3 linked regions of the Cricetulus griseus genome follow. The protein of the gene in region 2 interacts with the protein of the main gene of each other region in a pairwise test. Links are inferred from orthologs where the notes say so. Each region holds a gene or a part of one and is shown on either strand. Other genes may lie near its edges.

What was found. The genes of interacting proteins can lie anywhere in the genome.
Region 1: the proteins of Fosl1 (region 2) and protein LDOC1-like interact in binary tests that used the Homo sapiens proteins (3 or more experiments, as listed by UniProt). The two-hybrid records come from large-scale screens. The link is inferred for Cricetulus griseus from reciprocal best matches to the Homo sapiens genes FOSL1 and LDOC1.
Region 3: the proteins of Fosl1 (region 2) and Usf1 interact in binary tests that used the Homo sapiens proteins (3 or more experiments, as listed by UniProt). The link is inferred for Cricetulus griseus from reciprocal best matches to the Homo sapiens genes FOSL1 and USF1.

What each region holds. Positions count from the first base shown.
Region 1 is NC_048604.1:11,336,549-11,338,375, reverse strand, and holds protein LDOC1-like, read left to right. Parts: upstream 1-842; coding exon 843-1,295; downstream 1,296-1,827. UniProt on the Homo sapiens protein: May have an important role in the development and/or progression of some cancers.
Region 2 is NC_048596.1:53,884,934-53,888,224, forward strand, and holds the end of Fosl1 (fos-related antigen 1), read right to left. Parts: intron 2,239-3,291; coding exon 2,131-2,238; intron 1,619-2,130; coding exon 1,190-1,618; 3' UTR 561-1,189; downstream 1-560.
Region 3 is NC_048598.1:21,483,099-21,486,855, forward strand, and holds the start of Usf1 (upstream stimulatory factor 1), read right to left. Parts: upstream 2,707-3,757; 5' UTR 2,552-2,706; intron 1,928-2,551; exon of another isoform or gene 1,896-1,927; intron 1,856-1,895; exon of another isoform or gene 1,678-1,855; intron 1-1,677.

The DNA of each region.
Region 1 (1,827 bases), on a different chromosome or scaffold from region 2:
ACAACTAATGACGTTTAAAATAGGCAGACAAAGTTATTTTACAGAGCTCATCACAGTTTATAACTTAGGAACAAAGGCACTGATAACAGGAATATGGAAAGAATCAAAGATAGAATGTTGGCAAATGGATACTCTGTGCAGATTTGGAGATCTTTTGGTGAAATTGTCTCAACTGAAGAGAAGCCCCTGTTGACAATTACTTATGTATTTAATGAAAGCACCCCTTGCAAGTCTTGAAGTCTCTAAACTCAAATGATCTCCCGCAGTATGACCCTCAGTGTCAGTGTTATTTCTCTGGGTGAAATTTAAACAAGCAAGGAAATGTGTTAAGAAAGCATTACTCTAAAAAAATGTTGATGGCTGCAGGCCCACCGAGGAACACTGTATTGGATGAACAGGTCGGCTGCAGAGAAGTTTAAGCTGAAGCAGGCCAGCCCTGAGTGCTGAGCTTCTATGCTCGCACAGCCCTCCACTGTGGCAGGCTTGGCTCCCCCAGCGTTTCTTCATCAGGCTGGGGGAATTGACAGAGGCCCGGGGCGATGCTCCCTTGGTCACGCCTTCCTCCTCCTGGGCCACGTCCACTCGGTCCGTCAGTCCCACCCTGGCCACACCCCCACGCCACCAGCACTCCCCTCCGCCACGCCTTTCTCACCGCAGTGCGCTGGCGCATTGGCTGCCAGAGTGACCTTGTGGGTGGAGCTTCCGCCACCAGCTAGACCCCCTCTGCGCAGTGCCCAGGGTCAGCACTCCTCTGAGGACACGCACTTCCTCTACGGCCTCCTTGAGCAGCTCCGCGGAGCCGATCCGAGCCCGAGAGCCCGAGACCTGCCAAGCGAGTCACCATGGTGGACGAGCTGGTGTTGCTTCTGCACGCGCTGCTGGTGCGACACCGCGACCTGTGCATCGAGAACAACCGGCTCATGAAACAGCTGCGGCTGCTGGTGTGTGAGCGGGCCATTCTGCTGCGCCAGGTACGTCCGCCCAGCTGTCCGGTGCCCTTCCCCTCACCGTTTAATGGCGAGAACGCCCGGCTCCCCGAGTTTATTGTGCAGACGATGTCCTACATGCTTGTGAATGAGGACCGCTTCTGCAACGACGCCATGAAAGTGGCATTCCTGATCAGCCTCCTCTCCGGGAAAGCCGAGGATTGGGTGGTGCCGTACATCCAGACAGATAGCGCCATTCTCTGTGATTATCGCGCGTTTGTTGAAGAGATGAAGCAGTGTTTTGGCTGGTATGACGACGAAGATGATGATGATGATGATGACGACGACTGTGAAGCGGTTGATTGCTAGGCCCCGAGCCCCCTTAGGCCTACATGAGGAGGACCCTGCACGCTGCGTCCTCCCTACCCCCACCGCTACTCCTGCTGCCTCCGTGCCCCCCTTTGCATTGCCATTCTCTTCCCTGCCAATCACTTCGCTCCTTCATCCCTTTTAGTGCTTGTCTTTGTGCCAATTACCTGCTACGAGTGCTTGAGTTGGGCCTGGGCCTGGCTCTGAGGTTCACAGTGTTCAATTTTAACCAATCCGGGCACCTTTCTAATCTGAACTGTGTTTTGAGCTCCAGCCATTGTCCAGGCCTGTGTTAGAACTCGTCAGACCACCTGCATTCCTGCCGCTGGCTTCTGATGGATCGCCATCTACATCTGCCAGAAGTGGATGCCTGTCACCTCACCCCCCCCCACCACCACCCCCCACTGCATCTCATCTGCAGCCATCCACTTTTCAAGATATGGACCAGGAAGAAGATGATGGAGTTGGCTACATCTATTCAGACTCTCATTTGGACAGTTCACCAACCCTCCTAGAAGGGGCCATTCTTACA
Region 2 (3,291 bases):
CGTGGTTGGGAAGAGGGCGGAAACCCAAAGACGTGGTGCAATTCCCACCCGGAGGGACTGCAGAACTAAGGGCTGACTCCTCATTACCTGGAGTTTTGGGTGGGATTTAAGACAGTGGTAGAGCACTTACTCCCCCAATGGGCGCCAAGACAGGCCGAAATCCGGCCCCTGAAGTGGCTCTAGCTCCCTTCCAGGCTCCTTCCTGTCCGAAACAATGGGGCAGGAAGCAGGTGTTGGGGGCCTCAAGCCCACTGGCTGCCTGTTCGGAAGGTGGAAGGGTATGACACGGTCCTTCCCTGCCCCCAGTCCTTAAGATAGGAGCAGTGTGATTCCCCATGGGGAAAAACTGATCATCTTGTTTGCTTGCACTCCAGAGCATTCTCAGTCTCTCGAAGTACAGGAGATGAGGCAGAGCAGAGGTAGCCCCATTCTTCAGATGAGAATGTCAAAAGTCCAAAAATATATGATAGTTTCTTCAAGGTCACAGCTGAGACTGGAACCTAGAGCTCCTGTTCGAAACAGTCTCCTTTAGCTTCTGGATCCAACATGACAACTCAGACTAGAGCTTCAAGCCTTTATTCCATTTTGGAAGGTTTGTATAAAAATAGTCTCTTTAGGAAAATAAATAGCAGCTGCCCTTGATGTGGAGGCTTGGATACCCTGGAAGTAGAGGCTTCTCAAAGCTTGGGAGTGCAGCTCAGCTCATCACAGAAGCCACCAGTGCCTCCTGAGTTGTGCCATTCAGGAGGAGCCTGCAGGATGCCCTGTCGCTGCTGGCAGTGGAGCTGTGTGAGTTAGTGTTCTAGTAAAAGGACACCTGTCTGGGTGTAGGGCTGGCTGGATCGTATGAAGAAAGTGACATAGCATGAGAGTGGTCTGCAAGGAAGGGAAAGGGCTCCAAAGGACCACTGGGGATCTACAAAGACTGGGCTGCCAGGATTTCTCTGGCCTAAAGGGGACATATTTTGTCTCTAATTTTGTGCAAATTATGATAGGCCAGCTCTAGAGAAACAATGAGCAGCTTTGGGGACCCCCCCCCAAGCTGGCTCTACATCAAAGCATAATATGTTTGTTCTAATCTGAGAGATAAAGGACCTGCTGGTTTGGAGCATGGTTATGGTCCAGGCCTGCTGGATCAGTGGGGAAAAGGAGGCTGGGGTAGCACCAGCAAGGGGTGTGGTTGGGTGTCTCACAAAGCCAGGAGTGTGGGAGAACCCAGGGGGTCGGAGGAGGGGTCGCCACTGCTGCTGCTACTCTTTCGATGTGCTGAGGAACAAGGTTCTGGTGTGCTAGGGTAGGTGAAAACCAGACTGGGAGTAAAGGGAGTCAGAGACGGTGTGGTCATGAGCGTGGGGGTGTGCAGGGCTTCAGGTTCAAGTACAGGCCCTGGAGAAAGGGAGATACAAGGTACCGGGCGGCAGGGGGCTGGTGGGCTGCCGCCGCCACGGGCGCCAGAGCCGCTGGTGCTGCTGGTACCACCTGTGTCCTTATCTCCTTCTGGGATTTTGCAGATGGGGCGATGGGCTTCCAACACCAGCTCAAGGCGCTCCTTCTGTTTCTGCAGCTCTTCAATCTCTCGCTGCAGGCTCGATTTCTCGTCCTCCAATTTGTCGGTCTCCTTTAGGAGAAATTTAAGAGGGCTAAAGATCTCTAAGCCTCAGGCTGGAGTATGGGGGATGTGCCCTCAAGTCCCCTGCAAGTCCCATGAGACTCTTGGAGAAAATGGGCATGACTCCCATCAGGCCCAGGACTTGCCTACCAACATCTCTGCTTCAAGGCCCAAGACAAATAATTTTTTGTTTTGATTTTTGGGACAGGGTTTCTCTGTGTAACTGCCCACGCTATCCAGGAACTTGCTCTGTAGACCAGGCTGGCCTCGGACACACAGATATCAGCCTGCCTCTGCCTCCCCAGTGCTGGGATCAAAGGCGTGCGCCACCATTGCCCCTGTGGCAAATAATTTTTAACCCAACTGTTCTTATACTTTTCCCAGGACTTCCCCTCAGGCAGGGAGGAAGGTGGAATGTGGAGGAGTAATTTATTGGGTTTCTTGTGCTCCTAGGAACCAAGGTCACTCTTGGGCTTGGTGGGCCCAGGGCCTGGGAACTGTCTGTACCAGCTGATGCTCACCGCCTGCAGGAAGTCTGTCAGTTCCTTTCTTCGGTTTCTGCACTTAGCTGCTGCTAACTTGTTCCTTTCACGCCTCACTCTGCGGCGCTCTTCCTCCTCTGGGCTGATCTAGGTTGAAAGAGAAGAAGCACTGAACTTGCCATCCATCTTGGGGCCTTTCCTTCAGCCTGTCATTTAGGTGCCACCGTTACACAACTGCTGCTCTGTACCAGGCGCTCGTACCTAGCTCCAAGCTAGCTTTACTGCTTGCTGGTTTCTTTCCAGTAATGCTTTCCCACTCCATAAACTTTGACCTTCCTTCCTCTCATCCTTCCTCAGCTTAGGACTAAACTAAGATGTTGAAAGCCTTATTTCCCAGGCATAAGTAGCCTTCCCTCCTGAGTCTACGAGACACGATTATCTTTTTATAGGACCCTCAGCCTTCTCATCTGTGGAAGATGGAATTTCTTCCTTCCCTGAGGAGCTATGAATCATAGGAGGTGCTCATAAGTGTCAAAAGCTATTGGAAATCTACTGTGCCAGCAAAGTACTTCAGAGGATTTTTCTTTTGTTCAGTGCTAGGGATCAAACCCAATGCCCGGTACATCCTAGCTAGGCAAATGCTCTACCACTGAGTTATGCCCCTAGCCCTTAAATAGATTCTTTTTGCTTTTTATAGTTTTTGTATTTTAGATCAGATCTCACTGTGTAGCCCTGGCTTGTCCAGGACCTGCTATGTAGACCAGGCTGGCCTGGAACTCACAAAGATTCACCTGCTTCTGCCTCCCAGGTGTTCGGAGTACAGATATGTGACACCACACCAGGCTTGTTTTGTTTTGTTTTTTTAAAGAGACGAGGTCTCGTGTATCCCAGGCTGGCCTTAAATTCAACATATAGCCCACCTGCAAAATACTAGGATTATAGACTTTTCTCATCACTTCCAGCTTCCCTACACAGATTCTTTTTTGTTGTTTTCTTTTGTTTTTTGAGACAGGGTTTCTCTGCATAGCCATGGCTGTTCTGGAACTCACTCCATAGACCAGACTGTCCTGTAACTCAGAGATCCGCCTGCCTCTGCCTCATAATTCTTTGTGTATATTTTTGTGTGTGCTGGCTGGAAGTTGATATTGGGTATCTTCCTCAATTCTCTATTTATTTATTTATTTATTTATTTATTTATTT
Region 3 (3,757 bases), on a different chromosome or scaffold from region 2:
TTTTAAATTATTCCTCCCCCCTTTTTTCTCTGAAATTTTATATTATTTGGGGAGGGGTGCAAAATGGATTTGAAGGGGGCAGGGAAATGAATGGGATCAAAATACTTGATGTAAAAAGATACATAGGATAAATAAAAAGAAAATAAAAACAAGCATAAGATAAGGCCGAATTGTCATAACTAATGTTAAATTTCTGACTCGCCCTGTAGACCAGGCTGGTCTCAAACTCATAGAGATTCACCTGCCTCTGCCTCCCTGAGTGCTGCGATTAAAGGAGTGAGCCACCAACACCCGGCTATAACATTTTTAAAAAGCAACTTTTTAAATAATGTTCTTTACTCCTTATTTATTTATCTATTGGTTGGTTGGTTGGTTTTAGTTTCAACTGGGTGTCTCTGTGTAGCTCTGGATGTCCTGGAACTCACTTGTAGACCAGGCTGGCCTCCAACAGAGATCCTGCCTGCCTCTGCCTCCCTGAGTGTTGGGATTAAAGGCTAGCACTGCCACCGCCTGGCGGCTCCTCCATATTCATTCCACCTCCGAGGGGTAGGAGATAATTATACTAGAAGGCCGAGAAATAGTATGTTTCAAGGTGCATTATTGAAGCAATTATAGAGTATTACTAAAGCTACTATAGTTTCATAGGAATAGTTAGGGTCATGTTTAGGCCACCACTACCAAATAACACCCACCATGGTGCCCTTCTTAGACACAAACTGTACAATAAGAAATTCTAAGCAGGGCGGTGGTGGCAGAGACAGGGGCAAGAGGCAGGCAGATCTCTGAGTTAAAGGCCAGCCTGGTCTACAGAGTGAGTTCCAGGACAGCCAGGACTACACAGAGAAACCTTGTCTTGAAAAACCAAAGAAAGAAATTTTAGTCCTCACCAGGCATTTTGGTCCTTTAGTCCCAGCACTCGGAAGGCAGAGACAGGTGGATCTCTGAATTCCAGGCCAGCCTGGTCTATATACTGAGTTCTAAGACAGCCAGGGGTATATACAGAGAGATCCTGTCTCAAAATAAAACAAAACAATAACAACAAAAAAGAAATTCCAGTCCTCAATCTCAAAAGGGAAAAACTGGAACCCTCTTTTTGCCACTGGAAAACCATCACTAACCACAAAACCTAGATTTGGCTCTTGGGTATGATTCTACTGTCAGGGATCTTGTTTTGGGGGAGTTCAGATTTACAGCATCTGTTACAAACTCTAAAGCCCAAGTGCATCATATTCAAGGCTCCTCTATTTTATTCATCAAGGCTTCCTGTAGAGAAACACAGTTGCTAAAATGTTGCCATGACAACTCCAAATCAACTAAGCCTCAGGAGGAAGGGGGAAAAAATCCAGGCTCGGGGTTCTGAAGGAGAAAAGACAATGGGGGAGGAATCCATCTACAATGTTTCTGCCTTAGGACTCTTGACACCCCGCCAGAGAACAGAAAAACAAAGAACTGAGCAGACAGATGCCTCCAGAAAGAAACAGCTGCACAGTACAAAGCAATAAAATATTCTCAACAAGAAAGGACAAGATTTTTGTAAGTTTTCCACCCATAAAATCCTCCAAACCTTTCTAATCCAAAGAAAATCTTAGTTTAGCGGATAATAAGCCTTGGAAAGCCCGAGAGCAAAGAAAATGGTAACAAAAATAACAACAAAAAGGAACTGAAAGTGAAACTGACCGTCCAAAGTAACGTTGCAAAGGGAGGCAAGCACCAGTGTCTAGGGACCACCTAGGTCTCTATCCTCAAAGGCCAGGAGGAAGAGCCCCTCCGAAGCTTGTTGCATGGCCTGCAGAAGCAGGCAATGAAGAGAAGGCAACGCACAGGAAGCAACTGTATAGCCCACAGCTGTCAGAGCAACTTCGCAGGCCACCCAGCAACGGCGGTAGGCTACTTACTCAAATCTTGGTTATACATCCGGAAGCGTTTCCTGAGCATTTAAGAATATGTGACACGGAAATCAGCATAGGATGTTGTGGTTTGCACGCTCAAAAGGAGGGCCAAGCAAACGCCCTCGTCAAGCACAGACGCAAAAGCAAAAGCAAAAAAAATAAAAAGATCAAGTTCTGAAAGAATCCAGGCGCCAGGACCTTGCCTGAGAACGAGGCGTCTCCCTGCAGGCCCACCAACTAGCGGGAGGCGCTCGGGGAGCTGAGCACCACCCGTCAGGCGCGAGCCCCGAAGCCCACGCGGTGACCCCGTCGGCCCAGCCCCGCTCGCCCCGCTCGCCCGGCTCGCCCGGCTCGCCCCGCGCCCCAGCTGCTCCGCAAAGGAGACAGGGAAGGACGCCGGGGTCCCCCCCCAGGCCTGCGGCTGGCAGCTGCGGCCCGCGGCGGGACACCACGGGAGGGCGGGACGTGTGCACTCCCGGCCGGGGAGCGAGCTCGGCCCACAAAGCAGGGCAGGAGATAAAGAGCCAGGCACGGCCCCCTCCCCCAAAACAAAGGCTTCGAGCCCCGGCGCTGCCTGCCCGGGGGAAATGAAGCAAGGCCAAGCTGCCCCGCCTCGCCGCTCCACCTCGTCCCCAGGCTCCGTCTGGCTCCGACGCACTCACCGACCCGGGCCGCTCCAGTCGCCGATTTCCCCCGGCAGCGTTCTCCCTCTTTGGATCTAGGTCTCTCCATAGACAGCTGCTCATGCGCAATCGCGGCCTGCGGCCATGTTGGTGAGGGGCGGAAGTGTCTCCTCGACCCGCCCTGCCTACCGACCGCCCCGGAACCGCCCCATTTCCGTTCGCTCCAGACTGGGATGCGCGCTAAAGCCGACGTGGGTTTGTGAGTTTTTAGAGGCCCCCAAGAGAAGCGCTGTCCTCGCGGACGTCGCTGGAGTTCTAGCTGTTTGCAGCAAGAACCAGAAACAACAACAACGACAACAAACAAACGACTAAATTTTACTTCCATCTTGGTGCTAGGCGGAGCCTTTTTAGTTCCGCTAAAAGGAAGTAGGGGCCATCTTTAACAAGGGCAATTTGGGAAGCCATCTTGGATCAGGGCATCATTTTGAGGGGTTTCCAGGTGGACACTGGGACATCTCTGGACATATGTAGATCTGGGTTTATTTATGCCTTTGTACTAGCGTCAGACCTCATGTCTTCCAGTTTTTCTGAGGCTCATATGTGACATTTTTGATTACCATTTTTTAATGGTTTTGGAATAGTGAAGTATAAATAGCTAGAATTCATCAGACCCTGATCTCAAATCCACAGCTGACACTTTTCTTGAGACAGGATCACTATGTGGTGTGGTTTTCTTTCTTTTCTTTCTTTTTTTTTTTTTTCAAGACAGGGTTTCTCTGTGGCTTTGGAGGCTGTTCTGGAACTAGCTCTTGTAGACCAGACTGGTCTCGAACTCACAGAGATCCGCCTGCCTCTGCCTCCCGAGTGCTGGGATTAAAGGCGTGTGCCACCACCGCCCGGCGTGGTGTGGTTCTTAACTATCTTATGTAGATCAGGCTGTCCCGGAAGTCACGTAGATTTGCCCCCCCCCAACACACACACAAATTACACACACACACACCCGATACAGCCTCTACCTCCTGAGTGCTAGGATTAAAGGACATGTGCCACCAAGCACCGGAAACTGTCACTTCCTAATTCTGAGATCTTTGATAAGCATTTTCACTTAATTACAGCTTAGTTTCCTCATCTGTAAAATGGAAATACTAATACCAACTTCACCAAAATAAGTGGATTAAATAAATTCAAGGGCAAAGTCTTTATGAACACCCCAATTCCTGGCATTGGATGAACATTATGTAAATA